Linked DNA regions of Rattus norvegicus. The protein of the gene in region 2 binds, or shares a complex with, the protein of the main gene of each other region. Links are inferred from orthologs where the notes say so. Each region holds a gene or a part of one and is shown on either strand. Other genes may lie near its edges.

Region 1 (3,820 bases), on a different chromosome or scaffold from region 2:
ATGCCCGGTGATACTGACCTTCAGTTCCTTAAAACTGAGTGCCCAGCACTAATACTCCTCATACTGTAATGTGTCTGTAATTTGGTGAACTGCTTCATGGAGGAAGGGGACAACTGACTACAAGCTCTTCAAATAAGCAATATAAAGACTTCCTCGTAGAAGAAAATTCTTTTGAAACTCTTGGACTCAATTGTAGGCTTAGAGATAACGCTGCACTGTGTGATCTGTATAAGGCACTCAACGTCTCTGGACCTCAGTTAATTCTTCCCGTATCCCTTAAGATTGGGACACAGATGAAAGTAGGCAGTGCATTTCAGTGTGTCTGCTGGTGTTCTGGAATAGTAGGATAATGTAGTCCCATGGTTTTCCACTGAAATCAGGTTATTTTCTTATTGATTGTCATAGCACACAATACCACGCTTTCATTACATTCACACACACACACACACACACACACACACACACACACACACACACACACACACTGTGAAGTTTGCTTTTATTTCCCCCCACTTCCCTAGTGTTCTACTTTCCTCTTCCTGTCTGTTTGTCCACCACCTTGTAGTCCCCCTTCCATCCGGAATGCATTTTTCTTTTTTTTTTTCCGGAGCTGGGGACCGAACCCAGGGCCTTGCACTTCCTAGGCAAGCGCTCTACCACTGAGCTAAATCCCCAACCCCCGGAATGCATTTTTGATCACATTTAGTTTAGCTGCTTATGTTAGTTCTAATTCTTAAACAGAAACATATCTTTTCCATTAATTAATTTATTTATTCACTTTACATCCCAATCACAGCCCCTCTCTTACCAGTCACCGTGTACATAGCCCCTCACCCATCTTGCCCTACTCTCCTCTGAGGAGCAGGAGGCCCACCTTAGTACCAGTCCACCCTGGCATATCAAGTCACTTCAGTACTAGGTACATCCCCTCCCGTGAGGCCAGATACAATTAGGCAGCATAATTAGGGGAACAGGGTTCACAGACTGGCAACAGAGTCAGGGATAGCCCCTGCTTCACAGAAACATATTTTTAAAAAATCATTCAAAGAGCATATTGATTATTTTTCCCTTTGGTGCCCTTAGGAATGTCCCCATTTTGACTTCGCTGGCTCCCATAAAGAAAGGCTGTGCCTGCTTTGAACAAGATGGGAGATGGACAATATAGATTCCGAGCTAAGAAGTACATTCTGTGAGCTCTACGGTCTATTTGCAAGGCTTGATTTTTGGAGTGCATCTGTGCATACATTTTCCTAATCACAAAACCTCCTTGACCTCACTTCTTAACAGGATGGGAAGATATTCTGCCGGCGGACAGCTTGTGATTGCCAGAATCCAAATGTTGACCTTTTTTGCTGCCCAGAGTGCGATACCAGGGTCACCAGCCAATGTTTAGATCAAAGTGGACAGAAGCTCTATCGAAGTGGAGACAACTGGACCCACAGCTGCCAGCAGTGCCGATGTCTGGTATGTCAGTTTCCTGGGGATCCCGATGCCTTTACTCTAGAAAAGGTTATAAACTCACGAGCTCTTGGGCTGGAATTCCAAGATGTTTCCAGTATTACACAGTGCATCATGGGCTATGCTTAACCACTGACCACGTGCTTTTGACACAATCTTTAATACTGCCAATAAAAAAATGTAATAGAAGTGATGGAGTTTGGGTGAGCAAGACTGAGAAACCATTCTGTAATTGTCTCATAGGCTAGCTTATGTGGACACTTTGGATATGTCAAAGTGTTTCAGCGGTTAGTCTTTTCCATAAATGTTTACAGGTTTATGGGTACCAGTTCAAAGATTCTTAGGAAGATGAGAGAACGTATGTGAAGGATGAGTTCTGCACTCCTAACATAGTAGGTGCTTGGTTCAATGCCATAGAAGACCCTTAATGTGGTAACTGCTATCGGTGCTCTTTTATCCCTTATAAATGCTGTTCAAACAGAACAAAGAATATTTTTAAATATTAATATACAGATATTAATACTGTGCCTGGATTTGGGAAAGTTCAAAGAAAACGCATAATTTCCATATCTGGTCCAGTGTGTTTCAAATACAGACAATGGTTTCTAAGAACGGGAAGACTTGAGGGCATGGTACATTGAGGATAGCGGTGCTCCATCGGCTTCATCTCCGAGCATTCTACCTGAGTCAGCTTATAAAGCAAGGTTTTAGCTTGGTGCTTAATAGCTATTGAAATGAATTTTTCTCTTTCTGGGTATTATATGGAAACTAGCACCCAGAGAAATTGTTCTCCCAGTTTCCATAAATCCCCTGGCAAATGTACAAGCAGTCATACCATGTACCTTTTACAATCCATCTTAATACAAAGACTGCAACATAGATAAATTCTGTTCATGGCCAATTTTACAGATTCCCTTCCAAGGACAAATACACCCAGGACAACTACATACCTGTTTCCAGCATCAGTCTGGAAAAATCATTTTTCTTTCTTGAGAATCCAGTCATCAGATAGCTAGAATTACTGGCATTTATCTTGCACATGATGTTTTCACTCAAAGGGTTTCAAAACAGCATCTTGAATGTCCAGTCTTTGGGATGTACATTTATTTTTGAACTCACAGAAGCTATTGAGCATTAACTTGAAATTACTTTAGAATAATATTGGTCACATTTAATAAATGCTTTATTGAGACTTTGCTTGTGCCAGATTCCTAGTGATATCATACAAGCAAAGCAGACATAGGCACAACATGAATAAGCCTAGATGCTAGATACATTGATTAAATAATTAAATCAGTAGATGAGAACCACTGCAGCAGACAGTGACCCAATGACAGTGAGGTGGTGTGGAGAGACTTCGCTGACATAGGCAGCTCAGTGATGCCCACAGCCAGAAGAGGACTCAGGTAGAGCCTCCATTTGAGCTGTGATTTAGAGACTTTAGAGTCATGGGGTGGCTTCTCCAAAGAACATCCAGCCTCAGCTCTGAACTTGAATCCAACATCTCAGTTGATGCAGCTGTTGAAATATTCCCTGTCTCTGGGTCTCACTTTGGACCTTAAAAGAAGTAGGCGTCTCTTCATACACTGCCCACACTTCATTTTTTTTTTTTGCTTGTTTGTTCTATTAGTATCTGTTGGACAAATGTTGAGTTATGTCAATTACACAGCATAACCTGAAAAGACCAGTACAGCATGATGAAAATAACTATATTCTGTGCTCAGAACACAAACAAGCTGATTAAAGACTTTCTGTGAACTCTGGGCTAGGTAGTCAGCAAAACCATCCTGAGGGAATGATACCTTCTTAGATGTGTGTAGAAGGTATGTCTTCACAGTGGACGATGGATCGTGCACATCGCAGTGTGGGCTGGAAGCACTCAGTAAGAAAATAATGAGAATTCTAATGCTTTCTTTGCCCTAAGGGAATGTAAAACTGTATAAGGATGACCACAACTCATTTCATCTTCCTCTCCACAGGAAGGAGAGGCAGACTGCTGGCCTCTGGCTTGCCCTAGTTTGGGCTGTGAATACACAGCCATGTTTGAAGGGGAGTGTTGTCCCCGATGTGTCAGTGACCCCTGCCTGGCTGATAATATTGCCTATGACATCAGAAAAACTTGCCTGGACAGCTTTGGTGTTTCGAGGCTGAGCGGAGCCGTGTGGACAATGGCTGGATCTCCTTGTACAACCTGCAAATGCAAGGTAACCATCAGCCCTGGGGTATATGAGCCACAGATAGTTTCCTTTTGAAATCTCTGAATTCAGATTCCATGGAGTGTATGTTCTCACAGGAGGACATTAAGTATAGATAGATAATACTGGTACTTGTATAAAGGCAGATCCAAATGGACATGGAATAA
Region 2 (3,820 bases):
TCCCTTCCTTGGGCCTTCAGGAGAGAGAAACATGACATCCGGCTGTAATCTGGGCTGTCAGTATAGACCTGGCATATCAAAAGAAAGCCCGGTGAACCACCACCATTCTGTGGTTTGGATGGGGTGGGGGCTACTCCCTGCTCTCACTCAATCATACACATACCCATAAGGCCTCTGGCCTTACCCTGGGTTTGAACAGGCTCAGAGACAGGACTGGGTTCACTGAGGCCCCAGGCTCCAACAGCTCTCACGAGGAATAGGTAGATGGTATTGGGCTGCAGGCCGCTGACGGTGTGCGTTTCCAGCTGTACCCCATCTGCCACCGTCCGCCACGTGTTGCCAGCTGCTTGGCTAAGAAGGAAGGAGATGACAGGACTGTCTAAGCCAGGAATGCCCAACTCAGGCTCACCCATTCCCTGCAGAACCATACTACCTCCTTGGGGGAGGGGGTAGAGAATCGTTCTCTCAAAATAGCAAAGGCCCTAAGGACATAGGATCCCACCCCCCTTCTTAACTGTATCAATAGTCGTCTCCGTGGGCCTGGAGAGATAGCTCAGTAGGTAAATTGACTACTGAGTAAGTATGAGGACCTGAGTTCAGATCCAATGCACCCACATAAACCCCAGGTGTGGTGGCATGCATCTGTAACCTTAGCATTTGCTGGGGGAAGAGGGCAGAGAGATAGGCAAATCCCCAAAGCTGAGTAGTCAGTCAGCCTGTCTAACCAATTAGTGAGAGACAGGTTCAAAGCCAGACTTTGTCTCACAGACCATACGGGAGGCCATTTGATACTACGCTGTGGTCTCTGTGTGCACGTAGACATACACACATGCAGACTTGCAAGCACACATATACAGACGCACAAAATAGTCTCCATACCTGAAGGCCTCTATCACATAGGAGGTAGCTCTGGCCCCAGACTGTGGATTGGGCTTCCAGGTCAAGGTAATGCTGTTTGTGGTTACCTCTGTGACTATTGGCTGAGAGGGAGGGCCTGGAGGATTACCGGGTTCTGTTGCTGGACCTGGTGATGCTCCCCAATGTTCTGCAGTGATAGATTATCATTAGAGAGAGAGACTGGGGAAGAAAGTGAGACCTGCCTCCTTCCTAGAAATGCTATAGGACTCCAAGAATGGCAATGGCTAAGAGGTAACATAGTATATTAGCCCAGATTCACATCTGCCTCCCAAGTGTACCAGTCCATCCCCATCCCCACCAACATAGCATTTGGAAGACAAAATTAATCCTGGGGCTCAGAAGATAATGACTATTTTTAAAAAACAAATTTGGAGAAAGCTACTGGCAAGACTAGACTAGTGAATTAACTTACCTCGCTTCCTAAGCCAGCTATTCCATGTGGCCTCCCCTATGGAACTCTTGGCCACACAGCTGTAGAAACCCATGTCCATCTCCTGTAGGAGAAGGTAGAGTGCTGCCCCACTGGAAGTGGAGCACAGTAGGGTGAAGGGGTGGAGAGGCAGGTAACAGAAGGATGAGGAAGATGCTGGATACTTTAGGAAGTCTGAGAGAGCAGAGAGGTAGAAATGGATTAGATGCCTAGTTGGTACTTACTAGAGTTGGAATGTGGACCAGATAGCTATTTTCCAGTTACAGGGACTCCAGGGATGGCACTCACCTGTACACTGGCAATGTATAGTGTGCCGTTGTCCATTAAGTTGAACTGTGAGTTATCCCCCTGCAGCCACGTCTCATCCTTCTTCCATTGGACATTGGGCTGAGGGTTTCCAATCACTCTGCATGGCAGCCACACAGAAGAGCCAAGTACCAATGTCTGATTGGCTGGTCCCTGGAGAATGATGGGAGGTAGTCCATCTATGGAGGCTGAGAGAGAGAGGGAGAACTTGGGTCAGGAAACCTTTGTCCTTCTGCCTTATATGGCTCATCATCTCATCCCTCCCTCCTTGTCCTCCAAGACGGCTTTAACAATCATGTCTAGTCTCTGCCTGGGACCATTTTGCTGCTCGTTTCCAAACATCAAGAATGTCCCTCAGGAAAATGCCATTTCCCTTTAAGACACATTGAACAACATCCAATGGAAACAGACCTCTTAAAAGAATGGATCCTGGGTCCAACCCTCTCTCCACAGACACGTACCTCCTTTTATCTCTAACAGGGCCTTAGCCAGGATGCTACCAGCCACACTGACAGCCTGGCACACATAGTAGCCACCATCCCCGATCTTTACTTCAGTGATGTTGAGCTGGCCTCTTGGAGAGACTAAGAGGCGTCCCATGGGCTGGAGTGACTGACTAGGGAAAAGCAAGACCTGGAATGGAGCAAGAAAACAAGATAGGGAATTGGCAGTGTGTAGAGAGCCCTATTCCTGCTGAGAGAAGCCTTAAGATTTTAGTTTGCACTCTGCCTCCAGTCATTGACATGACCCTGGTCAATTAGTTAGCCAACTGACAAAAGTAATGGACATTTATTAGAAGCTCTCAGCTTCCATGTCCCCGTTCTGTGACTTTATTGGTTGACAACCTCTAAGAAACTTAGCTATGAGATAAGGCAGGAGGATCACAAGTTAAGAGACTGGCCTTAGCTCAGAAGATGAACTATCTGGGGCCAGGGGAGATGGCTCAGTGGTTAAGAGCACTGGCTGCTCTTCTAGAGGACCTGGGTTCAGTTCCCAGCAACCACATAGCAGTTCACAACTGTCTGTAACTCCAGTTCTAGTAGATCTGACACCCTCACACAAACATACATGCGAGCAAAACACCAATGAGCATAAACAAATCTTTTTAAAAAGAAGAACTAGGGGCTGGAGAGATGGCTCAGCAGTTATGAGCATTAACTGCTCTTCTAGAGGTCCTGAGTTCAATTCCCAGCAACCACATGGTGGCTCACAACCATCTGTAATGGGATCTGATGCCCTCTTCTGTTATGTCTGAAACAGTGTACTCACATACATTAAATAAATAAATAAACAAACAAATCAGAAGAAGAGGAAGAGGAGAGGAAGAGGAGGAGGAGGAGGAGGAGGAGGAGGAGGAAGAGGAAGAGGAAGAAGAAGAAGAAGAAGAAGAAGAAGAAGAAGAAGAAGAAGAAGAAGAAGAAGAAGAAGAAGAAGAAGAAGAAGAATTAACCAACAACAACTAAAATAAATAAAATCTCTGGCCCAGTATATCTTTATAAGCCCCAATTTCCCCAAATTTGACTCTCAGAGCTTAGGGATCAAACTCAGTATGAAGGAATCATGGGAATGTTTCATAAAACAGCATGATAAAGGCTAAATATTTTCTGTCTTAGCATTTTACTTTAGAGAGACATGTGGAGAGGAGAGAAAACAAGTTTTAGTCTCTGGACAACAGGTCAGGCTGAGACTCTGATTCCCCTCTTACTCCCTCCTACCAACACCATTTTCATCCCCATGAGGACCTAATTAAAATGCAACAGTCACAAGAACTGGAGATGTTGGGGAATTGTGGCCATGGGTTTGGAACAAAGATCTTGTAGTTTTCCTGAAGTGTAGATTTACTGTAGTTTACTATAGTGACCCTCCTTCCACAGAGAAAATCACTTAAGTTGTAACTTCCATTCTATTGGGTAGTGTGATCTGGATTTGTTCACTGGGTGGAAAGGAGACGGTTGTGAGTGCCGCTGGTGAAATGAGCAATCAATAGAGCAACTCATCTACCCTAAGAAGAGTTAATTCCTTCAATACTTGGTTTCCAGGTCCAAAAGCCAAGGCCTAGAGGGCTTGGGGGAAGAATAACTTATCTGGATTTCTACTTTCAAGACAGCACATAAAGATCCTCTCAGAACTGTTCCGCACCACCTAACATATTATCATTGAGTTGTC

What was found.
Region 1: the proteins of Robo3 (region 2) and Nell1 are in contact, whole or in part, in a crystal structure (PDB 6POL), measured with the Homo sapiens proteins. The link is inferred for Rattus norvegicus from reciprocal best matches to the Homo sapiens genes ROBO3 and NELL1. Residues at the interface, in NP_071765.2 of Homo sapiens: Ser553, Pro555, Val590, Glu592, Phe594, Pro596, Asn600, Thr601, Trp602, Thr604, Ile624, Leu626, Arg630, Gly633, Ala634, Trp635, Gly636, Leu637, Ser638, Glu639, Pro646, Val647, Arg648; in NP_006148.2 of Homo sapiens: Ala440, Lys441, Met442, His443, Tyr444, His446, Tyr458, Arg468, Val469, Asp470, Asp471, Phe472, Ser473, Asp478, Ile492, Cys493, Thr494, Asn495, Thr503, Cys504, Lys505, Pro506.

Annotation. Positions count from the first base shown.
Region 1 is NC_086019.1:109,698,812-109,702,631, forward strand, and holds part of Nell1 (protein kinase C-binding protein NELL1 precursor), read left to right. Parts: intron 1-1,287; coding exon 1,288-1,464; intron 1,465-3,437; coding exon 3,438-3,662; intron 3,663-3,820. UniProt on the Homo sapiens protein: Plays a role in the control of cell growth and differentiation. Promotes osteoblast cell differentiation and terminal mineralization.
Region 2 is NC_086026.1:45,330,213-45,334,032, forward strand, and holds part of Robo3 (roundabout homolog 3), read right to left. Parts: intron 2,288-3,820; coding exon 2,116-2,287; intron 1,843-2,115; coding exon 1,637-1,842; intron 1,523-1,636; exon of another isoform or gene 1,413-1,522; coding exon 1,331-1,412; intron 1,046-1,330; coding exon 880-1,045; intron 352-879; coding exon 185-351; intron 1-184. UniProt on the Homo sapiens protein: Receptor involved in axon guidance during development. Acts as a multifunctional regulator of pathfinding that simultaneously mediates NELL2 repulsion, inhibits SLIT repulsion, and facilitates Netrin-1/NTN1 attraction.